Linked DNA regions of Drosophila melanogaster. The protein of the gene in region 2 purifies or fractionates together with the protein of the main gene of each other region. This does not show direct contact. Each region holds a gene or a part of one and is shown on either strand. Other genes may lie near its edges.

Evidence for each region.
Region 1: the proteins of Dlc90F (region 2) and RPA2 purify together in Drosophila melanogaster (affinity purification with mass spectrometry, with the first as the bait; one large-scale study listed by BioGRID). This does not show direct contact.
Region 3: the proteins of Dlc90F (region 2) and Tap42 purify together in Drosophila melanogaster (affinity purification with mass spectrometry, with the first as the bait; one large-scale study listed by BioGRID). This does not show direct contact.
Region 4: the proteins of Dlc90F (region 2) and Arpc3A purify together in Drosophila melanogaster (affinity purification with mass spectrometry, with the first as the bait; one large-scale study listed by BioGRID). This does not show direct contact.

What each region holds. Positions count from the first base shown.
Region 1 is NT_033779.5:20,923,346-20,928,270, forward strand, and holds RPA2 (replication protein A2), read right to left. Parts: upstream 2,803-4,925; 5' UTR 2,702-2,802; coding exon 2,689-2,701; intron 2,631-2,688; coding exon 2,569-2,630; intron 2,506-2,568; coding exon 1,919-2,505; intron 1,830-1,918; coding exon 1,751-1,829; 3' UTR 1,630-1,750; downstream 1-1,629. Other genes in the region: Nthl1 (Nth-like DNA glycosylase 1), read right to left, coding at 3,103-3,519, 3,576-3,746, 3,812-4,279, 4,344-4,454.
Region 2 is NT_033777.3:18,296,920-18,301,460, reverse strand, and holds Dlc90F (dynein light chain 90F), read right to left. Parts: upstream 2,233-4,541; 5' UTR 2,040-2,232; coding exon 1,704-2,039; 3' UTR 1,417-1,703; downstream 1-1,416. Other genes in the region: Polr1E (RNA polymerase I subunit E), read left to right, coding at 1-553, 611-1,088. UniProt on the Drosophila melanogaster protein: Acts as one of several non-catalytic accessory components of the cytoplasmic dynein complex that are thought to be involved in linking dynein to cargos and to adapter proteins that regulate dynein function.
Region 3 is NT_033779.5:13,364,354-13,369,521, reverse strand, and holds Tap42 (Two A-associated protein of 42kDa), read right to left. Parts: upstream 1,906-5,168; 5' UTR 1,799-1,905; coding exon 1,676-1,798; intron 1,606-1,675; coding exon 586-1,605; 3' UTR 501-585; downstream 1-500. Other genes in the region: CG31855 (uncharacterized protein), read right to left, coding at 1-121; Grx3 (glutaredoxin 3), read right to left, coding at 2,214-2,391, 2,455-2,717, 2,782-2,991; Nnp-1, read left to right, coding at 3,446-5,168.
Region 4 is NT_033777.3:15,831,705-15,836,955, reverse strand, and holds Arpc3A (Actin-related protein 2/3 complex, subunit 3A), read right to left. Parts: upstream 2,309-5,251; 5' UTR 2,191-2,308; coding exon 2,185-2,190; intron 2,044-2,184; coding exon 1,870-2,043; intron 1,760-1,869; coding exon 1,406-1,759; 3' UTR 935-1,405; downstream 1-934. Other genes in the region: ND-23 (NADH dehydrogenase (ubiquinone) 23 kDa subunit), read left to right, coding at 150-601, 670-831; CG43317 (uncharacterized protein), read left to right, coding at 2,591-2,920, 3,022-3,432; CG43318 (uncharacterized protein), read left to right, coding at 3,563-3,565, 3,673-4,188; rec (recombination-defective), read left to right, coding at 4,339-5,251.

The DNA.
Region 1 (4,925 bases), on a different chromosome or scaffold from region 2:
CCGTTTTTCGGTATTTTTTCATAATGGTATTAGTCTTATAAATGTCTATCGATTTGCAAAAAACTTTTTGCCACGCCCACTCTAACGCCCTAAAGTCGCCAAACCTTGCACGTCCACACTTTAGAACAATTTTTTTTATTTATTTTATTACCCAATATCTACCGATATCCCAGAAAAATTATGAAACTTCCGCGTTTGCATTCACACTAGCTGAGTAACGGTTACCTGATAGTCGGGGAACATAGACTATAGCATTATCTCTTGTTTTTAATCTGATGTAGCTTAAGTATGACTGTAAATGTCTAAAGTAAGGCTGAGTTAATAAACGCTTAAAACAAATGTATGTATGTTCATCTTTGGATATACATATTTGCTTTTGGGGAACAACTACGGATATGGTTATCTTTCCACGGGGTTCTATTTTTTATATTTTTAACTAAGGATTGGCGACTGGACCGTTGTTCAATCACTATAGCACTGAAAAAGTTGGCAGCCTCAAAACTTCAAACTTTTGGCAGGTCTCCCTTTTTAAGTCACTGATATATAATTCTTTATTCAGTCTACATCAATTTCAATTGTGATTTTTCGGTAAATATTGTTACGATAAAAATGGGAACAGCAAGCGCGTTACCTTTGAAACAGCCACCTTCCCACGACCACCAGCCGCGTCTGAACGAGGTGACCCAAAAGTTTCTCGCCGATTTGGTCGAGGAGAGCCAGTGATTGTCCGCGGAGTTTCCACTTTGCGCACTGCTAATTGCCGAGGGTAAAATCAATTCGGCCCTTTACAGGGTATTTTAATGGTATTAATCCCACATTGCAGCTGTGGACCGTGTCTATGGCACTGGACGTATTCCCGGCAAGGAGTTATACGCAGACGTGTACAAGCAGAAGCCGATAAAGATTACCCAAAAGGTCTTCGTGCCCGTTAATCAGTATCCCAAGGTGGTTTTTTATACAATTAGCTATCCACTCCGACCGCAAAATGAATCCTTACACTTGCGCAGTTCAACTTCACTGGCAAGATCCTGGGGACCAAGGGGAATGCTCTCTTGCGCTATAAATTCCCACAACAAATATTAATCTTAATTTTTGATTTGCATGCCTATTATGTTTTGATTTTGATTCCTGAGCTTGTAATTTTCTATGATAAATTCAAAAACTAATGAAATAAAACGCATTGAATGAATTTTATAAATTTTTTGCAATCCGATCTAACTATGCCCGATATACAATCAAAATATGCATTACCTAATTAAACAATTAACTTACTAGCGTTAAAAGTTAGTTAGTTATATATCTAAAAAATAAATTGATAATGAAATAAAGCGGTATGAACTTATCACATCCTTTTATCAAATGAAGCAAAGTGAAACGATTCAAAAAAACTTTATAATCCATTACAATTTTATAAATGAACAAGAATATTAATTAAACATAAAATAATTAAAATATTTCAGGTTTTCTATCTTTTTTGTAAGATATTTTAAATTCCCTTAGGACTATGAATCCGAAGACTTTTCATATGATAAGCCGTAAATATACACATACACCGGCAACTTGAAGAGCAAGATTTCCTCAAATACACATTTTCAACAGTCCCAATAAAAAATATCCCAAAATCACTTTCTGATTATATAAGAAATATTTAATGTACAACTAATATATGGAAAATGTTCCCGTTTTTCAAAAACTTAATACATATATTCAATACGCATTTTTAAATTAAATAGTGGTTACACGATTTGATTTACATTGTGCAAATAAAGTGATCTGCGTCAATGCTGGAATAAATGTGTCCCTCGGAAATCATAAAGTCCAGAATGTTGCTGTAAAAATAGGAACAATAAAATGTTATAATTAATATTAATTAATAAAGAATATCAAATGATGCAATAGTTTTGGATAAACAACTTACGTCAACTCAGAGTCGCTGATGTGGGAGAATTTGGCTTTCAGTTCCTTGCGGGAGATGCCCTCCTCGGAAACATTGCTCTTGATGGCCTGGAATACGGCCTGCTGCTTGGGCTCCAGCCCACTGACAATGGCCGAGCTCTGGGAGGCGGTGAAATCAGCTATGGAGCCTGAGCCGGAAGAAGCCCCTGCACCAGCTCCAGCTCCACCCTTGCTCTGGTAGTCCTCGGCCCTGTAGCGGGCATTGAGTACTTCCAGCAGGTGGGTGCACACCTCGTTGGGATCCAAAACGGGCAGTAGCTTGAAGATCATTAGGGTTTTGGAACCGCCTTGCGACCGGGTGGTGCCGTAGACCTTCACGTAGTTGTTGACCATTACTTCGGGTGCCTTGAGAGCGTCGCCCTCCTCAAGCCAGTAGTGCGCATCGATCCTGCCGCTATGATCCTCCAGGGTGTAGGTGATCTTCGTCGAGGAAGTCTCCACGTTCCGCACTATGGCCACAACACATGCCATGGCGTACTGCATGCCGAACAACTCGATGTTTCCCTCTGGGGCGTCCACAATCTGCTTCACCACCAGGGGCACTATTCCCTAGTTGCAATCATACGGAATCATGTTAGGTTGTGCAACTTTACTGGCGTCTCACTCACTTACTTCTCCCTTTTGATTGCTGGCGGCTCCAGTTGGCGCAGTTTGTGTGGCATTGAAATCTCCAACTAAAACGAGCTTCGTTATTAGTTCCCTTAATTTCTCTGAGCTACGGGCTATACTTACATGAATCATTCATTTTCTTGGCTTTTGAGGGATTTGTAATTGAGTATTCTATATAATTTCACAAGGGCCGCTGGTAAACAATAAAACGCGCGAACGTAGAGCTGATAGTGTGGCCGTAGGTCGAACACGTAGGAATAACATCTATTTAGTATATAAGAAATACGAAATATTGTAGTGTCAATATTTCAATATTTTTCCTGAAAAACTGAATTATTGTAATAAATTGGGAATATACCTTTTTCAGTTAAAACAAAAAAAGAAAAACCACAAAATTTTTTATTTTTTACAGGACTTACAGCCCCCTTAATAATTCATTTATTTTCTTATGGGTAACACAATATTTTTCTTAGCACTAATAATTTCAGAAACACTTAGAAACCTAAAACCTTTTTCAGCGTTCGCTGAACCTCTTTCCTATCGGTCTTTCTTCCTTTTTTCTTTAGTTTCAGCATGGGCTGAAGGACAAATGTCCTTGTTCAGGCACTCCCCACAATTTGGCTTCACTGGGGTGCAAATGGTTTGTCCGAATCCCACGAACAAATGATTGACCTCTGACCAGAGGCTGAATGGCAGCCACTTCTCCAACGCCACACGGGTTTGCTCGGGCTCCTTGGTGGGCTTCGGCACCCAGCCCAGCCTGTTAGAAAGGCGGTGGACGTGGACGTCCACTCCGATTCCGGTTATCTTGTTCCAGGCCACTGCCATGCATATATGGGCCATCTTGGGGCCAACTCCTGGAAGAGCTACAAGGTCCTTGACATTATCTGGAATGTCCGAACCATACTTGTCCGTCAGTATCTCCACGGTTTGCTTGAGGTATTTAGCTTTGTTCTGGAAGAGATCGAGAGTAAGTGCGATATATTTATTTATTATTAATTCCACCAAACCTTGTAGAAGGATACGGGATGCAGTAAATTCTCGAGTTCAGTCACTGGCATTTCCTTTACTTTCAGTGGAGTTAGACCTCGGTCTTTAAGGCGATTCATGGCTTCATAAGTAGTTTGGTCTTTGGTTTGACTGGACAGCATCAATGCCACTAAGTTTTGGAAGCGCTGGGTCTGCAAGGAAGTTGTTTGCTTGTAACATATTCTTCTATGTACTTAATTCCACTTATTGGAAATACCTTCGAGTCTGCTTTTAAATCGGCGCATCGGTGGCATCCCATGGTGTCCACTGGCGCAGTTCTGGAGTTTCTCATAATGCGAATGTTTTCTAGGTGGTTAAACCACAAAGGATGTGGTGCTTGCACCTCAGAAAAAGAAGGGGAATCCTCCGGAGCTTCCTGTTTTATTTGGGGTTCCACCTCCTCTCTTATCTTATCCACTCTCACTGGGGAGTCCACAGCATCAGGGACCACCTTGCATATGACCACAGTAGCCGAACCCATTTGAACTCTGGTTACCATGCGATCATCCTTTCTAAACTTTTTGGGTGCCACTCGAGCTGGAGACAAGGGCTCCATTTTAATGTTAGTTTTCTTCACGGCTTCCCCATTTAAGAGACGCTGCTTGCGGGTTTGCACGGGGGAGAAGAACACTGAGCTACTCGATCCTGCTGCGCCAGCAGATACACCAACCAGATCCTCTATATCCTGGAAGATTTAGAAACTGCGTCTTGAGTATCAATTTCATTGTTTATCATGCATTTCCGCCTACCCTCACGTTATCCGCCCTATTTGGACGACTTTTTATTTCCGTGGGTTTTATAAGATCTCCGCGTTTTGCCAACTTGTTGGCCAACGTTAATTTCTTTACATTTTTGGCCATAGCTAATACAATTTCTGCGCTTCAGTTTCAGTTTCCATGTTTGTTTACATTTCGAACCTATCGATTTCGATGTAGGAGAAACGGCCACACTTTACAACTAAGTAGCCGGGAACATTTGAAATTTCGAAATATTCAACTCATGCAAGTTAGGATTTTAAGAACCATTTTTCGTATGCTACAGCATAATAAGTTATAAGCTATTACAATACATTTTAAGCCACAAATTTAATTTTAATGCACTTGATTTAAAAAAAAGTACAAACTTTTCGATTTCGTTATCAACAGCTCATAAAATTTAACAAAGATATTTAAAATAAATTTTATACCCGATATTCGTATACTAGATTCGTTGAAAAGTAAGTAATAAGCAGAAGGAAGCGTTTCCGACCAACTACATATATATATATTCTTGATCAGGATCAGTCGATCTAGTATGAACGTCGAGATCCCAGGAACTATAAAAGCTAGAAG
Region 2 (4,541 bases):
CCGTAGATGGCAAAAAGCATGCCTTAGTATACGCGGGTGACCAGGTGTACACGGGCGAGGTGAAGGATAGCGAGGAAGTCGATACCTACATTTTCATAAGGAACAAATTAACCAACAAAGTTAAAGTCGTGCCAGTGCAAGAGGCATTGATGTACAATCACGTTTACAAGAAACTGGAGCGACAGAAGAGAACGGGTCCCACGATGAGCCGGGAGCACGCCAACAAGAAGCTGCTCAAGGAGTTTGGAGGGCGCAAGGCATCCCGCTTCGTGGACAACCGCGAACAGATGATGGTCAACGTGGAGGTGATGCGTCAGGATCTGGACGAAACGGTGAATTCGAGCATGCTCAACGAAGACGAAGAGGACGGCACCCTGGGTGATGTGAGCATCAACAATGAGGAGTACCTGGCCAGCATTGTGCCCGAGTTCAACAAGGAGGCAACCAAAGTGGACGAAGTCTACGCTGTGGAAAGTTTGATCCCGAGCTCTCTGCTCGAACGTCTCGAGGAGGAGGCCAAAGTGGTGTTCTCCACGCCTGTGCAGACTCTACCGTATGTAGTTTGGTAAAAGCAGTAACATTTAAATGTTAAAATTTCTGTTCCTTGCAGCATTAAATCGGAATACCTCAAGTCATGTTTGGCCAAAATTCAGGAAAATCCCGTTTCATCCAAGCGAGACTTCTTGCACATTAAACTTATCATCTACATGGACGCCTTGCAGTCGCTAATTTCCCTTCGTTCGCGTCAAATGCAAAAGGCTGAGCTCTCTGGTATCACGGAGAAGATCGAGAATGATATACGCCATCGTTTTGCGGATCCCAATGTGGCAAAGAAGGGAACTCGCACCAATTTCAGCAGTGAAAAGGCACTGACACACTTTATTGTGATGGCCCTGCTCCTCAGTGAGAAGTTCGAAGTGGACATCAATGTCCTCTCCCGTGCTTTGGCCACCACCAAGGCTCGGATCAAGCAGTACGCCCACATTGTGAACGCTCTGCCAAAATCCAATTCGGACATCCTTAGCCTGCGCCTGCCCAGCAAGGTTCCGGCTCTAAAGTCGGGCCGTCGCTTCCAGCGCAAGAAGTAGGAGTATCTTCAAGGACACCGCGCCCGCCATCGATTTAACAAACCCTGGCGCGCCAATTACATTTATTGCATCCAGGTACTTCTGATTTTGTTATTTTGGGCAATGCCAGAAGGAATATTATTATTCTAAACGATAGAAGGTTTTGATAAACTAAAATAAATAAAGAAATAAGAGAAAGACCATTAAAGTTTAATTTTAACAAATGCCTGGGAATTTAAATCGATTTTAGACCAATGGCCAATTGCTGCCATGGAAACGAAAAATATTCCCACGACCCAAAAAATGATGACCCATTGAAAACAGTTTGCAATGATTAACTTATTATGCTACGGTATTATACACTTTTTATTTACGTTTTTAGATTGAAAATCAAGAATAACATTAGGCGAGTACACTGGCAACGGAATAGTTGCTTGCTAATTGCTTGGAAGTGACGACAAGGTTTTCAAGTGCTCCATAATAAATTTTGTTATTACAGCAGGATGGATGGCCGATCAAAAAAGTATGGTATTTGTGTTGTTGGTGTGTGCTGGTGTACGACGGCAATCTTGTTAGTCCCTCCCCCTTTTAAGTCATCTTCATCGCGAATTCCGGCAGTCCTGCCATTCCTCCACTCTAGACGGCCAGTCCGAAGACCGAAACGATGCAGTACATGGTCTTGTTCTCCCAGCGTACTGTGCACGATCCGTCGGTGTCGTTGTTCCAGTAGCAGGAGCTGGCGGTGTGGAGTCCAGCACCGTTCTTTTGCATGATCATGGCGGTCACAATGTACTTGTAGGGCTTCTGCTCCTTGGTGAGCACCGTCAGGCAGTTCTCCACCACCTGGCCGGTCCAGTTGTTCACCTTGTCGTGCTGGTAGGCGTTACCGCCGATGGTCGTCTCGATGGCCTCTTTAATCGTCTTGCTCACGTCGTCCACAATGAACTGGCTTTCTTCGCGTGAGTCATCCATCGTCGCAGCTTTGATTTGCTTCTAACGGCAGCTGGTCAAAAAAGTTTACGTACTGAGCTCAAGTTTGTATTGTTGTCGTTGTAAATGTGCGCGCGTTTTTGGGCTCGTCGGCGGCGTTCGAGCAGTCCAAATAATATATATCGGGATTCTATTTTTCTAAGGGATGCGGAAAGCAAAGTTTGCTTTTAATTTGGAAGTATTTTCTTGGGCACCTTGATCTGGTCAGACTGTGTTGCAATTTAACCGGAGAAACGGTTACATCGTGGGTCATTTCAGCATCTTCACACTAGAGATTTCAAGAGAAGAAACAGTTGTCTTTTATTAAAAACAAAGGTTTCGCTATCAACATTTTCCAAAGCAATTAGTCAAGGAGAGTATAATTAGATTAAGTACTTTCAAAAGGAACCAAACAAGTTAAAACCTATTATAACCATGATGCCAGTGGAAACACATCTAAGCATTTAAATTAATCGATAGAAAACAGTGCTGAAAACCGCGGGAAAATTAAACTTTTAATCGCTGGATTATTTCGACTGCAAGCCACGGTCACTCTGGCAGAATCAACATAACGGACGCGTTCGCGGCGCAATAAAAACGAAAAATAATTAAATTATTCCATAACTCTTCTGCGACACCATTGAAAAACATCGACGCATATCAAGGCCGACAAATATCGCTATTAAATGCACAGCTGAAAGCGATTCGTGCAGCACGTCGTTGAATTGAATTAAATTCGTTATGGGAAAGTGCCTTGGTGTGTGTGTGCGTGCGTATAATTAAGCAAAAGTATTTAGCAAATCGAAGGCGCACATTTCGCAATACACGCTGCGAAATAATCGGGTGATAATTGTCGCAGCTGCAGGCGCACTTCCTTCTCCATCTCCTGCTTTCTTCGTTTTTGTCTCTGCGGATACGTGCTACTACTTTTGCAGCTGCTGTTCAGCTATTTAGCGCGTGTGTGTGAGTGCGCTCCGCGGCTGCTGCTGTTGTTGTTTTTGTTGGCTCACCTCTCGTTAACCACCTTGAATGCGAGTGAACGAGCGAGAGGGGGTGAGAAGAGTGCAAAGTTGATGCCCGCGAGTGTGCGCTTGTCTCTCTGTGTGTGTATGACAACAAATTGAGTGCGACTGTGTGCGTGCGGCATTAGTCACTCTCTTTAACTTTTAACTGTTTTGGTCCACCCTCTGCGAACCAAAAAGGCAAAGACAAAAAAAAACCACTAAACCAACTTTGCGGATCGGTTTTTTTTTTTTGAATCGAAACGAATCGGATCGGAACGAATCGGAAATCACCAAAAGGTTAGTTACCCGCAATTGATATTTAACCACAACATCACCCTGACAACTGCTTGCTTTTGCAAACATACATACATATGTAACATCACTCCACCATTCTCATCAAAGTTTTGCTCAAGCTACTTACTTAATTGAAATTCCAGTCAAGGTCGCATTTGTTAATTAATTAAATGTTTGCCCGGCTGACTGCAAGTATAAGGCAAAAGGGGAAACTTGGCGACTGCACAATAGTTATTGTACAATTCAAAAAGTATTGCATAAACCGATATGCTACGTTTGTTCCGACTGTTTACTCAAGCCTCAAGCGATAAGCGGGGAGTACAGTGACATTTATGGATGGGATGGGAAACCCATTTTCTGTTTTGACTGCATAATCGCCAGCACACGAAAAACACTGTCATTGCATTTAACGAATAACTGGAATTATTAGAGAACAGCTGCCTACATAAATACCGCTTCAAATGGTCACCATTGGTCACTAAATACACTTTTTTTACGAGTCATACATTTGCAGTTTTTCTCTCTGTGTAACTCTGCACGAAGCTTCTTCTTTACCCATTAATAAAATAGAAAACCGAAGGAGTTTCGTTTTCGTTTTGTCACTTTCGGACGCAGCAGGTGGTGCATTTGCGCGCTTACCTCACTTTCCAGCTGACTGACTTTCGGGCGATCCTCACATGGTAGCCATAACCATATAACATATGCTATTCCAGCACCCTTTTTCTCTACGCCAGTGCCCAGTGATAAAAACCCTTCGCAGAGCAATCTTCATATGACAAAAACAGGAAATGTATATCACGCAATGTATATATACATATATATATATATATATTACACAATCTTTTAGAGAAGTGCAATCTTATGAAATGCCAAGCAATAAAGCGGTTTAATATGCTTACTTAAATCGTATACACCGTTTCGTTATGATAACGGCAGATGATATCAAAAAGTATCAGAATATTAAATATTATTATACGCCCAAGGGTATCATTTATACGACTGAATCTGATGCTACACGCAAATGGCACAAAAGATCCTCTTTATAGGCTTTTCAAAGTGCATTGTTTTTTAACTACTGAAATGGGCGGCAAGTGTTTTGCTTTTGCACTCAGTACTCGGATACACATTGGAGTGCACAGAAATGTGGGCGTGTTCGAAAGTACTGATGTAAGCTTTCAGCTCTGATTGTGTTCAACTTTGACCCACA
Region 3 (5,168 bases), on a different chromosome or scaffold from region 2:
CGGTGGGCAGGTAGACGGAGGCACGCTTCTGCGACGTTCGAATTCCATGTTCGTTGCTCAAATGGGTAAAATTGCTCGAATCGTGTATGGGCAGACCCTTGATAAAGTCTCGTACTGACATTCTGCTTTTGGGTTGCTGCAGAGTACGAAAAGTGTTAACACTTGATACTACCACGTATCTGCTGTATTTTAACACACCTCACTTTAATCTTTGTTGATCTATCAATATTTCGAGAGAACTGTCTTCTCTTTTACGTTTTTTGTGTAGCAACTCACAAAAATTTAACTTGTGCTTGAGATTTTTGTTTTTGTTACTGGTGGTGACAATCAGTGCTGCAAAATGCGCGATTACAGCCAAACGCCTACCAATACTGCAACAGTGGAACTATTCTAACTATTTATTTACTGTATATATTGTCAATTCAATAAAAAAGAAAACAATTTTTATTTTATCAATAGCGCATCCCTAGGATTTATAAATAAATTTAGAAACTAGAATTATTTTTTGAATATACTGACTTAAAACCAGTCTTGCGGTTATACCATTTTATTGGGTTTTAAAAAAATACATAAATTTTGAGTTCCTTAACTACGGTTATGACGGTTGCCGTCACCGCGACGCACCACATCCTTGTATTCATCCATGCGCCTCATGCGGTCTATATACTCGGGATCATCCTGCTCCGCCTGTAGCTCCTCAACGGCCTTCTCCTCGTCCTCTTTTTCGTTGGGATCCCGGGCGGCCGCGATGGCCTGTGCCTGATTCATCTTGGCAACCTTCTCCTCATCAGGAAAGATGCCCTCGTCGACGCGCTGCTGGTAGAATTCATCAACAGTCATAATGGGCAAACTGGGGTATCCCAAGCCGAAAACCGCCTTCTGGGTGGCATTACGTGTTATGATGAAGGGCTGCAAGGGCTTTGGCTTAGCGGCCTGCTGATGATGGTGGTGGTGTCCGGGTCCGTGGCTGTGACCATGACCGCGGGAGGTGGACGATGCAGAAGATTGATTTTGATTCGGTGGACGGAACGAATCCACTTCGTTGTCGGATTCGCCACCAGCCAATCGGGCAAGGCGCATCTGGGCCAGCTGCTTCATTACGCCCAATGTTTCTAATTCCTGCTTGGAGTCTATTATACTCTTGTCCAAATACTTGAGGAAAAAGACACGTTTATCCTCATCGTCGACCGTTTTGTTCTTGACTGCATCGCGCATTCTGGCCATATACTCGTCAATCTCCTTCATCCGGCGATACTGGGCTATTTTGTCGTTTCTATTGAAGGCTGCCTCTACCAGCTCGCGCTGCTCGCTTTTTTCCGCTTGGCTATCCGCCTTAGCCACCTGAGATTTGGGCGCTGCACAGAGATCATACTCCTGGCAACGCTGCAGGTGGTCCTTGAAGTAAATCTCGCCCAGCTCTATGGAGTGTGTGTTATTGGGGCTGTTGATCTTAGTGGTAAGCTTGCCCAGAAAGTAAGGGAGCAGCATGAATGGTAGCGATTCCGTGGACACCTCGTCGATCAACTCGTTGGCACTGAACATGCTAACCTGGTTCACAATGACGGTGGCCTGCTCGAAAAGGCCCATTGCAGTCTTCACTTTGTTCTAAACGTTGTGGTAAACGTTCAATGCTGGTTTTTATTACATATATATGAAGATCTTCAATATTACACACCTGAAATTCGCTGCCATTGAAGGGCAGTTCGGTAACTTCTAGCTCGTCGAATATGTTCCAGCCCTTTAGAAAGATGTCCGTCAGCTTTTGGTCCTCTCCGCCAGCGGTATTACCCTCAGCCATTTAAAGATTTGGATATAAGTTTATAGTTAATGGGTATTTTCAATAATATAAATAATATTGCGAAAATAATGTGCAAGATGCCGACGCCGAAACAGCTGTTTACAAAATGAAGGTACGCAAAATACCAGATAAACCAGGGCTGGTGTATAAAAAAGTTCTTACAAATTTCTAGCTATATTTATGTCGTTAAGTTTGTAAACATTTATGGTGACACCATTGAAGCCCGTGTAAGATGTCTTATGGATGACCTATAGCACATTTGCTTTAATACAATTGTTATTAAAAATTTCGATGAATAAAATAATACCAGAATGTAGCAAAAATCCTTTATTAAACCATTAAAAAGTCTAAGGATCTAGCTAAAAATTTGTTTCTGGTTTATGGTGTCTGTAGGAGTAGATGCAATCCGATGGAATTAGCCCTTTAGCGTGGACTCGAGCTCATTGTTCGCCAGCAGTTCCTTAATAATATCGAGTCCGCCGATAAGTTCACCCTTGACGTAAACCTGGGGATATGTGGGCCAGTCGGAGTAGGTTTTCAGGCCTTGACGCACTTCTTCGTCGCCGAGGATGTCAAATGTCTCGTACGGCAAGCTATCGAAGGATATTTTCGTTTATAACTTGAAATCAAATACAACTGATGATCAATTTGCATACTTGGTTTCGTTCACAATGCCGATGAGCTGCTTGGAGAATCCGCAACGCGGTCCATTTCGGTCGCCCTTCATGAATATCATCAGCGGAGCTGTATTGATTAGGGCCTTTAGGCGTTCCTCCAACGTTTGTCCTGTTGCCGCCGCGCTGCTTGCGTTTTCGGCCAACTTTTTGGATTTGGCGCTTATGGCGGCGATGTCTACACCATCGACACGGTCAACGGCGGAGCCCTTGGCGAAGAATATGACTGTGGGCACGGCCTCGATCTGGTGGCATCGCAAATGAATGAGGAACTACTGTTATATTTTCATAAAATAAATACGAGCGTACCTGATGTTTCATGGAAATCTCGGGAAATTGTTCAGCGTTTAGGCTGATGAACTGCAGTTTTTCGCCAGTAATCTTGGCCAGCTCCTCCAGCGCGTCTTTCACCTGACCGCATTGCTCTGCCCATTCGGCGGCGAATAGAGCTACGGTCGTCTTATCCGCATTAATGTACTTCTGGTACTCCTCGGCAGCCGACACGTTCACCACGGGCATGATTTCTTTGAATTATTTAACTAAATTTGCTGGACAAGCAAAATTTACAAAAAGCAGACCGAATTATCAGCTGTGGAAGAGAGTTGCCACTTTCCGTAAAGAAGTCAGCGCTGGTAGCTATAAAATAACAACCTATAAATGGCTAAAAATATATAAAATTGTATTAAAATGTATAAAGCAAGCGTTTCATGAAGTATCAAAACTAGCAATTTAAATATTCTTTTTATTATTCTTTTTTTCTTTATTTTATTCTTTGAAAATTATTTCATTAGCTTGAGTTTTTGTTGTCATTTTCAGTACAGCTCATGCATTTAGAGCTGTTGGACGAAATTTGGAGAAAATGTCGTTTCAACATCTGGCAACATCGAACGGCAACACGTGCGGTCGTGCCGTACCGTATTCAATATACACAGCTCACTTATTTTTCGCAACTAAAAGTTGAATTAGCCGGATAATGGTGACGCGCAAGAAGCCAGTTAAGCGCAACGCCGAGGCGGCCGAAATCCAGGTCGAGCAGGAGGAGGACGCTTCACAGCCGAAGGTGGCCAAGGAGCTGATGGTGGTCGCCCAGGAGGTGAAAATTATACGTGCTCTTGCCTGCAACGATGTGGTGGAGCGTAATCGCCAGATCCGCATTTTGCGCAAGTGGTTCAAGGCGCGTGCCGGTAGCTCCTTTCCCTTCAACGAGGACGACTTCATGCGCATCTGGAAGGGATTGTACTACACCATGTGGATGTCGGATAAGCCGCTGGTGCAGGAGGAGCTGGCCGAGAAGTTGGCTCAAATGGTGGACAGCTTCGGCGGTAATACGGCCTGCAGTCTGGCCTACTTTAGTGCGTTTATGCGCACAATGTGCCAGGAGTACTTTGGCATAGATCAGTGGCGCATGGACAAATTCCTGATGCTCACCCGCCGCATGGTGCGTTATCTACTGAGATTCCTCAAACAGAACAACTGGAATGCGGACCTGATAGCCGCATTCAACAGCAGCATGCAGCTTTCTGTGATGTCGGAGCAGCCTAAGTCTCGCGGCATGACCATGCACTACCTAGATGTTTTCTTTGAGGAGCTGGCCAAGGCGGCCAATGGTGAGATCACTGCTGCTCAGGTTAATATGTTCTTGCGTCCGTTTGTCACCTACATTGCTACACAACGCGATGCTAAGCTAGTGGCACAGTGCCGCACAAGGGTACTCTATCATCTGATGTACCAGAGCGACTTAGGACGACAGTACAGCGAAAAGTACAATGCCTGGAAGCAGATGGGTTTCCCCACCGCCTCCATTGATGACATTGAGAAACTAGATTCTGGATTTGACGAGGAGGATGACGAGGTCAACGCCGAGGAGGAGCAGCCGCGGGCCACATCCTTGGATCCCCGAGCGGGCAACGTGGACGTTCACATGCCGGAGCTGCCGCTCAACGCTGATTGCGTACTAGATGAGCTGCAGACGCAGCTACGCACCAACGATTTTAACAGCAAGAGACGCAAGGGATTGCGCAAACTTATCCAGATCTTTGAGACTTACCAGAGAGGAGAGTTTCCACTTGGCGTGAGGACAATGCCAAAGGTGGAGGGACAAACTCTGTCCGAAATGGTGGAGCAAAAAGTGGCTGCCTTAGATAAGATGGAGGACGAGGTCTTTGCAACCGGAAGAAAACTGAAGAAGCTCAACAAATCCAAACGCAAACGCCTACTGCAGTCCATTAACTTTGAGGAGGTGGACGAGCACAACTACGATGAGGTTATTAGCAAGGCTCTGCCTCCTGAGCTGCAGAAGAAGGTGAATTACAATGCAAAGGTGCGTTCTAGCATAAACAACGCATGGGTAGTAGAGGAGGTCAAGGAGGCCGAGCCCAAGTCGAAGAAAGCAAAAAAGGAAGAACCGCCACAGCAGAACAAAGATGACCAGACGAAGGTGAAGAAGAAAAGCCAGCTTAAGCCGAAGAATGACCAGTCCAAGCCCAAGATAGAGGATCAACCGACCTTGAAGGCAGAAAAAGAAGAGCCTGCGAAGCGCAAGAAATTGGACCACTCCAAGACGAAGGAGGAGCAGTCGAAGCCGAAGACAGACGAGCAGCCCAAGCCCACACCTAAGGTGGAGGGACAGTCCAAGGCCAAGCCGACTCCCAAAACGAAGGCTGCCGGTGTTGATGATGATGCTCCGACCAACGGAT
Region 4 (5,251 bases), 2.5 Mb from region 2:
TTCCGGGAAATTTCCCATTTTCGTGGAAATCGCGGCGAGTGAGGTTATGTAAGCTTATGTCATACCAAAACAAAAGTCTAAACTCGCTTAATTCAGTATAACTTTTCGACTTAAGCATGTTATTTAATGGTAAAATGTTCTCCCCACAGGACAGCGCCTGTTTGGCAGCCATGGAGCCCGGCTGCTGGCCGCCCAGCGAGCAGAACCCAAAGATATCGTCGAGGTTCCCAAGGGCTATGTGTATGTAAACAACAAGGAACTGAGCATGGAGTTTGCCGACATCACGGACCGTGCTGCATCCACCATGTTCTTCGGTGAACTCTTACGTGGATTTGCCGTCACCCTGGCGCACATCTTCAAGGAACCGGCCACTATCAACTATCCCTTTGAAAAGGGACCACTGAGCCCGCGATTCCGCGGAGAACATGCCCTTCGTCGTTATCCCAGTGGAGAGGAGCGCTGCATCGCTTGCAAGCTATGCGAGGCTATTTGCCCCGCACAGGCGATCACCATCGAAGCGGAGGAGCGCGCGGATGGCAGCAGACGTACCACACGCTACGATATCGACATGACCAAGTGCATCTACTGCGGATTCTGTCAGGTGAGGAGGAGCAAAGTGGCGCCACAATTTACTAGAAACTAATTGCATCTTTTTGTCCCCCCGCGTAGGAAGCCTGTCCCGTGGACGCCATCGTCGAGGGACCCAACTTCGAGTTCTCCACGGAGACGCACGAGGAGCTGCTGTACAACAAGGAGAAGCTTCTCTGCAACGGCGACAAGTGGGAGTCCGAGATTGCCTCTAACTTGCAGGCCGACCATCTCTATCGTTAAAGTTGCTTGTACCCCTAGAATTCCTTGTTTAGAACGATTTTCCAATTAAAGATCGTTGCTGTGGCTTCGTCTTAAGCGAAAGTCAGTTGTATTTTTTTTAATTACTCAACTGGCCTAATAAATATAAATTATTTATATTCAAAGAGTTCCACGTTGTATTCGACAGATGACAAAGTTTATTTAATTAACAGGCCAATAGAAAGCATTTTTTCCAATGACGGAGCGACTACAAATAAATGAAACTTAGTTAATACTTTACTATTCCGATTTTGATTACACAAATTATAGGCAATAACTTCCATTTGCTGGTCAGTTATTAGAAACAGATATTATTTATGAAAGTTACTTGCAGTTTTATCCACGTTAATTTTGTAAAAAGAATTTACATAAATTAATTAAAACAGAAAGGCTTACAAATTCAAATAATTTATTTAGTGGTTAATGAATTTAATTAATTGTGACACGTTGGCAGTGATACTGCAAATTAGGACCACGCTGCGAGTAAAACTTAATTGAAGGGTATTTTTACCCGTCGTAGAAGCAAAACAAGATACCAGATATTGTGGATAGCTGTTTATTGTCCAGGTCCAGCCAGACTCTTCTCCATGAACTTTTTCTTCGCGAAGCAGGTCCACCATTTATTGGGCTTGCCATCCTCGGTGTTGAAGACCTTCTCCAGTACCCGGTTGCCGGTTTCGTGGCGCAGCTGCAGCAGGTACTGGCGCATCAGATCCGCATCCTGGGCCGTTTGCGGCTTGGCATAGACGGCGTTCAATGGGAAGCCAGCATCGCCGGGAATGTCGAACTTGGAGATGGCCAGGCTGTACATGTCCTGCTGTCCCTGGGCCTTGCTCGTGGAGCGATTGAGCTTCTTGAGGCACTCTGTTATGTAGAGCGTCACATAGATGAGCACGCGATCCACGTCGGACTGAAAATGGTAAAACATAGTTTGTGAATTCAAGTAGCAAGTAGCATAAGGATTCAATATGACCATCACGTGACCAGGTAATGGTTCTGAATCCCGGATTACGGCCTCACCTTGATTTCGTACGTGCGAAAGAAGACATTGGCTTTGAAGTAGTACAGTGACTCATCAATGATGTCGCTCTCAATATTCGCACTGGGCGCTGGCCCGCGCACCTGCGTCCTCAGCGGCAGGATGGCCATGTTGCCCACCTGCTGGCGCACTTCCTTGATCTGCGAGTGGTAGGCCTGAAAGCATAGTTAATTTACAAGATTGCCTTTTCCCTTGGAAATTTTTATGCTTGGCAGGGGGTCACGAAAGCAGGTGAAAAGAACTGGGAATATCTCAACGCCAACTCGTTTGCCTTTGATGCGCAAGTATCCACTAACCGGCATGTTGAATTGTATTTTAAATTAATTATTTAAATTAACGTTGAAAACGTTATTTTTTCGATGTTAAATATTGTTTTTAATTATAGGCGTCCACTGTTTACAAATTTTGCAGCTCTAATTTATCGACAAGACCGATAAGTCGCGACCGAAATGGTCACACTGAGCTAAATTTTTAAAATTGTGGACAATTCCATTAAATACTACAAGTTTTTTAGTTCGTTATTAATATTTTTTTATAAATTGTTGTACATCAACCAATTTAAATATGTTTGACAGTTCCAGATTTTCTGTCAGAAATCGAATCGAAACATCGAATGCTAAACAAATCAAGTTTGTGTTAAATGTTTAAAATTTTTAATGTTTGCGCCATCCACAAAGGAATTTGATTGTGACTTCGCTCTTTATGGATGAAAGTAAAAAATTCCTCCAGAACGTTGCCCATATCGCTGGCAAATTGGATCTCAACCACTTGGAAAGAACCACGATGGCCTACAAACGTTTATGTCTGGAACTAGAGTCCATGAGCAATGAGGTGACTCCAGCCGTTACTCCTCCGACTTCGGCTTCTGCTTCTCCGCCGACCGCGGTCTCCCCTAATGGACTCCGAGCAAGTGCCTCAGAATTCGTGCCCCAGGTGCCGGTGACCAGTGACCGGATTCCCATTGAAATGGACAATGATGAACAGGATGATGATTCGGATGACGATGGCTACGATGAGGAGCGCAAGAGAGCTGTGAGTATTGGAGATTTGGAGATATGTCTCAGTTTCTAACCATCAACACTATCTATAACACAAAATATTAATTTATCTAAAGATAAATCTACCTAATTTAGCCAAAGCCCGCAATATACGGCATCCGGTTTTATAACCATCATTACGAGTCCGACGACGTGAGCGAAAATCACTTGCAGGCGGAAAAGAAGCGAAAGTTGGGCTATAGGACTCCAAAGTTTCGGCCAAACCAGCCGACTTGCCGGTCCCCAAAGTCGGAAACGGACTTTATTCCCACTGCTAAGCCTCCGCCGGAATTGGCCAATGGACAGCCGCATTTCAATGGACCCTACATGCCGCTTCTGCAGCACCGAATCGCCAACGCAGAGGCCTACGGGCTCATCCAGGGTTCCGACGAGCGGAACAGCCTGCTCCTGGATGACATGGTTAAGCAACTGGCCCGCCTGGACAACTGTCCCGTCAATCTGAGTTCACTTTTCCCGAAAAAAGGTGACCAGAAACCAGAACCCTAGATCGCTCTGAATGTTCTGTAAAAAACTATGAGTTTCTTATTAAAAGGAGGCTTTGACTTAGTATTCGATCTGCTATTCAGTTTTATCATTGGTTGCATACGGTCTCTAAAACTTTTCAGCAGAGAACAAAATGGTAAAAAAAAAAATAAATAAATACAAAGCTGTAGATAACCAAAAAAAAAGGCGATAGCTGTCAATTTCTAAGGCTAGTTAGTTAGTAAGCCCTAATTTCCCTTACAGATTCCAGCTAAAACCGAGACGGAAGCTCCGTGCATTAAAGATCCCAAGGAGATTGAAGCAAAACCTGCTGAAAACATGGAAATTATTCATAAAACGATCGTGGAGGATAAAAAGCACAAAGATCCCAAGGAGATTGAAGCAAAACCTGCTGAAGCCATGGAAAGTGCTGCTAAAATGTTCGTGAAGGATAAAAAGCATATGGAGCAAATGTTGGCTCTTTCCACGATTCCACTGCGCATGGACCAACAAATCCAGTGCATCAAGACAATTCAGCAGGAGCTGCTTAAGCTTCACCTGAAGCAGGTGATGCTCCTCGACGGCTGCACCGAATTACTACATGAACTAAAGGCCGTGCAGCCCACTGATGAGAACGAGGAGATAAAAGTGTTGGAAACATTTCGTGAGGTCAAGTCGAAGCTATCGGGTGTATTTGAACACTACCTTCCCGCCCAGCTGAGCATACTGAAGCAAGAATCGAAGATATCACAAGTGTCCGCCGAAATAATTCCAAAATAATTTTATTACATCGATTTATAAGTTTAAATATAAAATCGTTAAGGGTTCAATATCTTAGCCAAAGATCGTTATCGATATTTCATGTCATTTGTAATATAGGTATCATCTCTATTTAAAAGCGGGCAAATTTGTAAACTTTCCCCAGCTGAAATGAATCCAACGCTTTCCCGGGGGGGCGCCCCATCGCGATTTGTGCGTGGTCGTGGTCGCGGAGGCGGAGCCTACCGTCCGTACTTCTACTTTCGGCGCAATGGACGTGTGATCCCAGCCGGAGGCAATCGACAACCCAACCAAGGGGAACCTGGAGCACCAGACGCTCCTTCTGTTCCGCCTGCAACTCGGCAACCCAGGGGCTGGAGCCGCACAGCCGGCAAGCGAGGACGCAATGCTCACTTGGACTGCAGCTTTCTGCGGCCGGAAAACTATGCCGCACCAGAAGACGGGCTCCAGGTGCAGAGCATTGCGGTGGATAATCCACGGGCTTATTCCGGCTGGCGACTGTACTTCTTGCGCGAGAAATACGAGGAGGGCAACGAACTGGCCACAAGGATAATGGCCGTGGAGGCATACTACCAACGTAATCCTCACACCTTCGATTTTGTGATGATACGGGATCGGGGATTCTTCCCCCTCTGCGCAGCAGGCATCAAATCAGATGCCCAGCTAAAGGAGGTTTGGCCTAGTTTGTCCGAAGACATCCGTGAGCACCCGCTTCGCACGCTAGGAACCCTGTCGTTGGCTATGCACACTGTGGTCGTCAATCACCAGCTGGACTGTAATGATTCCACCACAGCTATGGTGTCCACTCCGGAACAGTACGTCCTTCCAACCCCACGGGTACGCAAGATCTACGCACGACCGGATGATTTTGTGCCTGTGGAATCAATAGAAGGAATAAGCCATTCCCGAGTGGACACTTTGTTTTCCATCCGGGGTTTTGTGAGCAATGTGGGCGAGCCTAGCTACAGCCTCACGTGGCAAGCCTTTCGCTGCAGTCGCTGCCAGATGGAGATTGCCATGCGCCAACGGGGAACCTTCCAGCCACGTCCTTATCAATGCAAGC